Coturnix japonica: one gene and its partner. The protein of the gene in region 1 interacts with the protein of each later gene in a pairwise test. Links are inferred from orthologs where the notes say so. Each region holds a gene or a part of one and is shown on either strand. Other genes may lie near its edges. The genes, in order: WDR4 and RABGGTB.

Region 1 (3,915 bases):
CACTGTCTTTTAAGCAGTAGTGAGGGATGACTCTAAGGAACTAATACTAGTGCAAGAGGCTACTCAGGCCATGCATGAAAGCACTACTAGTTCATAGGACTGCGTGATCTACCAACTGAACTGGATCTCAGTTTAATGCTATTTTTCCTATCTCCACTTCCCATTTTAGTTTGAAATCTCTTCATTAAAAAACCTTAGGAGGCTTTTTGATGCTTTTGAGCCTGTCTGTGTTTCTTCTCCCTCACAGAGGCTCCAGAAGTAGATCAACAGCAAATACAGTTTTTGTTAGAGAAAACAGGAGGGCAAAAAGGACTGAAAGCACATACATATATATGCATGGTTTGGAAGCACAGACCTACTTCACCGGACTGTAACGTAGACTGCAGTTTTTTCTCCTTCCTAATGCTCAATGTATGTATGCATACATACATTGTATGACCTAAGGAGTTCCTGTAAGTAGCTCTGAATAGAAGCAAGCCTTTAACAACATTGAGATAAAAATATCATGGAAGAGACAGATACATCTAATTAAAAGCCAAAAATAGAAAAACAGAGCTCTTAAAATAAATGCAAATAATATAGAATATACTATCAGTTTACTATTCAGGTAATACTTTCAGAGAATTTCAGACATGCAATTTGCTGGACTAAAGGTAGAGGGTGGGGAAAGAGGATGGGGGAAGCAAGAGAATTGGCAATCACATTTGAAGGACATCTGACTCCCTGACAGTGAAACACAGAAGCCTTTATAATTGAATATTTGAGAAAGCATCCCTCCAGGCTAAAGAAGTCTTCAAAGAACTGCTGAGGAAGAACTCAAGAATGCCCGAAGGAAAGACATATAAGCAAAGCCTAAGAATAAGCTGAAGTATTAGTACTAAAGATGTCTTAAGAAATTAAGAATGCAGATAGCATTCAACTTGAGCATTACAAGGAAGCGTTGCTGGAAAAATACTTTAATCAATTGTATTTGGATACGTGGAAAAGACACATTTCTACTCATAACCATGAGCTTACACAAACTAAGCATAACCATACGCAGGAAAAGCAGGTGGTTGACAGAGGTAGATAAGCCTCCTGGCACCTTCTGAAATCAAAAAGCTGCAAGAAAATCAACTTTGAAGCATCTTACTGGTCACCGGCGGCGTCCCGGAGCCTCCTGGCCGGGTGCACAGCGTCGCCCCTCGGAGCCCCCAGACCTCCGGCCTCACTGCCTGTAAAACACAGCCATTAAGCCTTCAGCCCTTCGCCCGGGACCTCTCCGAGGCACGGAGCAGCCGGATCGGCCGCTCCGTGCCTCGGAGAGGTCCCGGGCCGAGGTTCTTTGGAGCTGGGAGAGCTGTAAGACCCCCACCTTGCGGGCAGCCGCCCACCCGCACCACAGCAGTGAGGGCGCCGCCATCTTGTCGTCCTCCTCCTCCTCAAGCCCCGTGCTGCCCTCTATCAGCAATACCTTCTGTTTGGCTTTTTTCTTCCCCCCTCTCCCCCCTTTTTTAAAAAATCTATTTATTTATTTATTTAATTATTTATTTATTCTCTCTTCCAGCGATCCTTTCAATTTATTTATTTATTTCCTTATTTATATTGATCGCGTTGCTCTTTTTCAGTACGTCATCATCGTCTCGTCACCTGTGGTGACGTCCACACTCTGCGCCCTCTCTCGCACGTGGAATGGAGGGCGGATGGGGACGCGGCCCCGGGCCCGGCCCGGCTTTAGCTCTCAAGGGAACGTTGATGGCTGTCGGAGGTGGGAGCCGGCTGATGGCGGTGCGGAGAGGGGAGCACAGGTCAGTGTGTGCCGGGTGGGTTGGGGCTGCCCTCCGGTTTGGTTCCTTGGGAAGGGACTTAACGAGTGTAGTGACAGGACGAGGGGGAGCGGCTTTAAGCAGAGAGAGGGGGAGATTTAGCTTAGTTATAAGGAAGGATTTATTCCCTGTTCTTCCCTCTGAGGGCAGTGAGGCGCTGGCACAGCTGCCCGTAGAAGCTGTGGTGCCCCATCCCTGCAGGTGCTCAAGGCCAGGTTGGATGGGGCCCTGGGCAGCCTGAGCTGGTGGGTGGCAGCCCTGCCCACAATTTGGCTTCTTTATGTTCTGAAAGAGTTGACATGTTCTATAGTTAAGGCCATGTTTGTTCCAGTTCTAGTGGTTTTATTCTGTTGTTTTTCCTTATTTGCAGGGATGATGCTCTCTTTGTGTATGACTGTGCCAATGTGGAAAAGAAGGCCTCAGGAAATAAAGGGTGAGAAAATAAGTGTAGATATATGGTGTTTTCCTTGATGGCGTATCTGACCCTGAGGTTGTGTGGCTATTAAAGTAATAAACCCATGAGACTGCTCCTTGAACGGGTGATGGGCAGATGCTCATTGCTAGCCCTGATGGATGTGTAGATTTGCACCTGCATGTATCAGTACAGGTTAGATGATGATCATCTGGAGAGGAGCTCTACAGAGAAGGACATAGATATTCTGGGATTCAACGGGTTGGCCATAAGCCAGCAGTGTGCTTTTGTGGCCAAGAAGGCCAGTAATATCAAGGGGCACACTAAAAGAGCATGGTCATCAGGTCAAGGGAGGTGCTCCTCCCCTTCTATTCTTCTCTTGTGAGGCCTCATTTAGCATACCGTATCAAGTTCTGGGCTCCCCAGCTCAAAAAAGACAGGGATCCCCAAGGAGGAGTCCAGTGGAGGGCCACAAAAATGATGAAAGGCTCAGAGCATGTTCTGCTTGAGGAAAGGCTGTGTAACCTGCATCTGTTCATCCTGGGGAGAAGAAAACTGAGAGGGGATCTGGTAAATGTTTATAAATATCTAAAGGGCTCTGGAAGGCAAATGGGTGAGACCAGGCTCTTCTCAGTGGTGTGTAGCAATAGGACAAGGAATAATGGCCTAAAACTTCAGCATGGAAAGTTCAGAACTAACACGCGCAGGGATGTCTGTATGGTAAAGAAGATGGAGCACTGGAACAGGCTGCCCATGGAAGTCATGTAGCCTCTTTCTACGCAGATATTGAAAACCCTTGCTGGACGCCTACCTGTGTAACCTGTTGTAGGGTACCTGCTTTGGCTGGGGGTTGGACTCAATGATCTTTTGAGGTCCCTTCCAACCCCTGCGATTCTGTGATATATGTCAATGTATATGTATTTTTTAGTTTCATCTCAGAAAAAACACTACATCTTTTATTAGAGGAACTAAGAAATGAAAGCAAGACAAAACAAAAACCAACCAAACAGATACAGTCTTCACAGAATCACAGAACTGCAGGGGTTGGAAGGGACTACTAGAGATCATCCAGTCCAACTTCCCCCTACTGAAAGCAGGTTCCCTACAGTAGGTCACACAGAAAAACATCCAGGTGGGTCTTGAATATCTCCAGAGGAGACTCCACAGCCTCTCTGGGCAGCTTGTTCCAGTGCTGTATCTCCCTAACAGTAAAGAATTACTTGTTACTTGTCTGTAACCATACGCTTTGCTTGAGTGCTCTTCTTATGAACTTTTGTGGAGGTCCCTGTACCGTGCACCATCTAGAAGTAAGCAGTACGGAAAACAGGATTCCTGTCTTAATTTGAGTTCACCAAAGTTCTGTGTCTTGTTTGTGCTGGTTAGTTTTAATAAAGAATAATTTCTCATATGCAGATACTGATGCAGGGTTTAGTCAGTGCACACTCTGTGCGCTGTCCTTGATCATGAAGTTGAGACGTCTGCAAAGCTGTAAATGTATTCCTGGATGTTTAAATTCTAACCTCTTGAGTCGAGAAGAAGAGTTTATCTTATTTATTATTATCTTAGTGGAGAATGTGAGGAAGATGAGCTTGTTTTGTCTATGCAGAAGGTCAGGACAAGGCACAAGAGGAAAGCTTTTTCGCTGTAGAAACAGGGCACAGAGAGGTTGCAGAGTCTCATTCTTAGAGATATTTGAGA
Region 2 (3,915 bases), on another chromosome or scaffold:
TTATCCCAGTTACCTCACATGGCTGATTTCAGTCCACTACTGCCTCAGACTGTGTCCACATGAACAGTTTGGTTCTAACGAGTGCAGTTTTGAGGTGAATCTCCCAGGTTCGCCCCTGTTGTCCCTTAGTGCTTTGATTTACAGAGATTTGAAGGCATGTGAACTGAACTTTGGATTAAACTAACTAGAAGACATGATCTAGGAATGCACCTGAGGTGCTCCAGCCCTTCTTTAGGGGTATGCAGTGTAACCCAAAGCCAAAAGCCACCAAAACGCCTTGTAGGTCTTGGATCCAACCGTTTTACGCTCCAATTCATTGGCACTGGTCTGCACTATTTTCTGAAGAAAGGCTTCTAAGAATCTCCTACAAGGAATGGCTGAGAAAGTTTGATTTCTTAAGTCTAGAGAAAGCTCTGAGGAGACCTTATAGCTGCCTTCCAGTGTTTAAAGAAGGCCTATGAAAATGATGGGGAGAGACTTTATCTGGGAGTGCAGTGACAGGACAACGTCACTGTCAATGTTTATAGGATTATATAGCCCTATGGTCTATGGATTATAGACTTGCACCTTATATGACCTATAGTCACAGGTCAATGTTTATAAATAAAAAAGGGGAGGTTTAGTGTGACAACCTGGTTAAGAACTGACGTACTTAGAAAAAACAAAACAAAACAAACTAACAAAAAAGAAGCACTTATTTTTGACTGTCCTTCACATGCTGGCATAATATACTGTTTCTGTTGGATACTCTTAAGATCCTGTTCCAATCCAGTATGATTTTGTCTCCCATATGGGTCTGAGTCAGTGTTCGTAATTCATAATACAGTCATATCGGTTTTAATTAGGAAGAAAAGTGGCTTTGTTGTTGCTCGTTCGTTGAAATAACAGAGTATTCCTCACCCGTCCTGTGCTAATTTAACTCTTAATTACTCTTAATTAAAAACTCTTAATTTGCTTTTCCTTAAAGACAACGTACAGAACCAGAAAGCTTTTCTAAACCGCTGCCGTGTTTACCACGACGCACAACAACACGCACTTTCCGACCGCACACGTTACGCGCGCACCCTCCCTTTCAATTCAGCGTTCGGCTGCGACGAGCCCGAGCGCCGCAGCCGCCGCAGGACCCAGGGCTGCCCAGCGCCCCGCCGGCCGCGGTGCGGCACAGAGGAGCGTCGCTCCAGGCCGTGCAGGCGGCGGCGGCCCGAGCTGTCCGAGCTGTCCGAGCTGTCCGAGCTGTCCGAGCTGTCCGAGCTGTCCGAGCTGTCCGACGGAGTCCCGTCCTGCTCACGGCTCGGTGTCGGGCCGGACGCGCGGGGCTGTGGGCGCAGCACCCGGCAGGCGGATCCCGGGCAGCCGCAGCGAGGCCCCGTCGGGCGCTACTTATTGCCGCGCCCCCCTGGTACCTCCCTCTTTCCGGGGCAGGCGGCGAAGATGGTAGGTGTGGTGTGGTGCTCCGCGTGGGGATGGCGGTGGACCAGGCCCATCCTGTGCTCCATCCCGTACTCCATCCTCCTTGTCCCAACCTCCGTGCTCGGTGGGTGCGGTGCCGGTGCACGCTGAGGGCCGCGATGACCGTAATGGCGCTAGTTCGAGGCCCTGTAGGCCCGGAGCTGTGTCTGCCGCTGTTCGGGGCTGGCTGCGGTCGGAGCCGAGTGCGGAGCGGCGAGGAGAACTTGCCGCGTTCGGCCTGTCCGCCCCGGCCGGGGCTGCGGCGGGTCCGGGAGCGCACAGCGGGCGCGGCCTCGTGGCGCGTGGTTGGGGCCCGTCGTGTTTGAGTGCGTCGGGGGAAACTTTGTTTTATTTAGCGTTACTTAAGAAACAAAACGCTACATATTCATACACATATTGTGTGCCTCCGGTGGCGCAGTGGTTAAGGACGCCACTTTGTAACACTGGAGGCCCGGGTTCGAATCCCCCTGTGGCGCAAGTGGTAGAAGTGCTGCTCTGCTACATGAGGCTCGAATCCCGGGGGTTGGACTCGATGATCTCTAAGGTCCCTTCCAACCCGCACAAGACTGTGATACTGTATGATACTGTGATATTCGTGCTCATTCGCTGGGTAGGATTTAGCCAAAGTACTAGTGAAGTATAGAACCTTGACATACACAGAGAAATGTCCGATTCAGAGCAGTCAGTTGCTGCAGCGAACATTGGTGGAGACGTTCGTGGCTGCTGGAACTTGCCGAGCTGTCTGTGTAGCTGATGCCTCGTTGGTGCTTTTACAGGGGACGCCACAGAAGGATGTTATAATAAAACCAGATGCTCCGAGCACGTTGCTTTCAGAGAAGCATGCGGACTACATAGCATCGTATGGAACAAAAAAAGACGATTACGTGGGTATCAGTTTTGCTTCAGCACAGCTGTGGTTTTATTAATGGTACTAGGAAAACTTACTTGTTCTGTGCAGTCCAAAGTATAAGAGGAGGAAGGCTTTGTTGATTTCTTTTGGTCTGTGATGGCTTTTGGCATGTATTATCTGAGCATAAATGTGAAGCTTATCATTTTAGCTCTAGAATTACTCTGAGACCTTGGAAATGAACTGCTAGTTATGCCTTCATCCTCCAGAATGCATGAGTAGAACTATAATCACATGTGGGTGCTTACTAGGCAGCACACTGAGGTGCATTGCAGCATTGCCCTGCGAGTACTGTGTGTAAGGAGTGCTTCTGACTGTTGTCACTTGTGTGGGTGTGATGGAGCACATGGCAAATGGATTTTATTTGGTGAGAAGCATCGATAACTGTGTATTGGGGGGGGGGGGGGAATTTAGTATATGTAGGTATACGTGTACATACGTGTGTTTTTATGTGCACACATGCATAATACACAGAGTAAGGGTGACTAATACATTCTAAGTCATTTATGGGATTGAAAATATTTGATGTTACAAACTGTGTTTCCGTTGTTGTACTTCAATGGCATCTTTATCTGATGATGAACTAAAATAATGCACTTCTTAGGAGTACTGTATGTCTGAGTATTTGAGGATGAGTGGTGTTTACTGGGGGCTGACAGCAATGGATCTTATGGGACAGCTGCACCGAATGAACAAAGAAGAAATTCTGGCATTTATCAAATCGTGTCAACATGAATGTGGTGGAATAAGTGCCAGCACAGGTCACGATCCTCATCTTCTGTATACCCTGAGTGCTGTCCAGGTAAAACTGATGTAGAAACAGCCATTTGTGAATAATGATATTGATGAAAGCAGATATCACTTCTAATGTTCATTTAATGATGAATTTGCTTTCTTGATAAATTTTATAACACTCCTCTTGAAATATTTCTTAGCTATAGCATTTACTGGAATTTTGCACAATCCTGAACTTCGTAAACTTTTCTTGGTATATATGTTCAGAGTAATTTTATATGTGCACGTGCTCCAGAAACTTGATTCATATTAATAAATACGCATATGTGTATGCAATTACTATGTACCGTAACTGTAATATTAGATAAATACGTGGTTTATATTAGTGTGTGTTCAGCGTGTTTACATTCTACTATCATACAAATGGAACATCATAGTAGCCAGTTCTTGTTATGTTCCTCAAATTTCTTTTATTTTTGTAAACTTAAAGTAATATCAATCTCCTAATCATTTCTTTATTTGATGTTTACTCCTTCCCTGAGAAAAATGAAGTATTTTCAATTGTATGTTTTCATCATAGCTGTCTCCAATGTAGATTTAATGTTTCACCATCTAGTCTGTTTTTATCCTAGTTCTTGCACAAACTGGGGTGGAAAATAACATGGAGAGACTGAAATGCTTCTAAAGAGTTGCTTAATTGATTACAAAGTGTATCTCTTCTTGAAGCTCGTGGAAGAAATACTTAAATGGTGTTACAAATAAATTAGGTTTTAAGAAGGAAATGTTGGATCTAAGGTGTTGGGTTTGAAATATTCAGACAGGAA

What was found.
Region 2: the proteins of WDR4 (region 1) and RABGGTB interact in binary tests that used the Homo sapiens proteins (3 or more experiments, as listed by UniProt). The two-hybrid records come from large-scale screens. The link is inferred for Coturnix japonica from reciprocal best matches to the Homo sapiens genes WDR4 and RABGGTB.

What each region holds. Positions count from the first base shown.
Region 1 is NC_029516.1:98,726,633-98,730,547, reverse strand, and holds the start of WDR4 (tRNA (guanine-N(7)-)-methyltransferase non-catalytic subunit WDR4), read left to right. Parts: upstream 1-1,546; 5' UTR 1,547-1,671; coding exon 1,672-1,787; intron 1,788-2,175; coding exon 2,176-2,238; intron 2,239-3,915. Other genes in the region: NDUFV3 (NADH dehydrogenase [ubiquinone] flavoprotein 3, mitochondrial), read right to left, coding at 1,133-1,214, 1,355-1,402. UniProt on the Homo sapiens protein: Non-catalytic component of the METTL1-WDR4 methyltransferase complex required for the formation of N(7)-methylguanine in a subset of RNA species, such as tRNAs, mRNAs and microRNAs (miRNAs).
Region 2 is NC_029523.1:26,855,586-26,859,500, forward strand, and holds the start of RABGGTB (geranylgeranyl transferase type-2 subunit beta), read left to right. Parts: upstream 1-1,243; 5' UTR 1,244-1,431; coding exon 1,432-1,434; intron 1,435-2,225; coding exon 2,226-2,333; intron 2,334-2,447; exon of another isoform or gene 2,448-2,530; intron 2,531-2,960; coding exon 2,961-3,158; intron 3,159-3,915. UniProt on the Homo sapiens protein: Catalyzes the transfer of a geranylgeranyl moiety from geranylgeranyl diphosphate to both cysteines of Rab proteins with the C-terminal sequence -XXCC, -XCXC and -CCXX, such as RAB1A, RAB3A, RAB5A and RAB7A.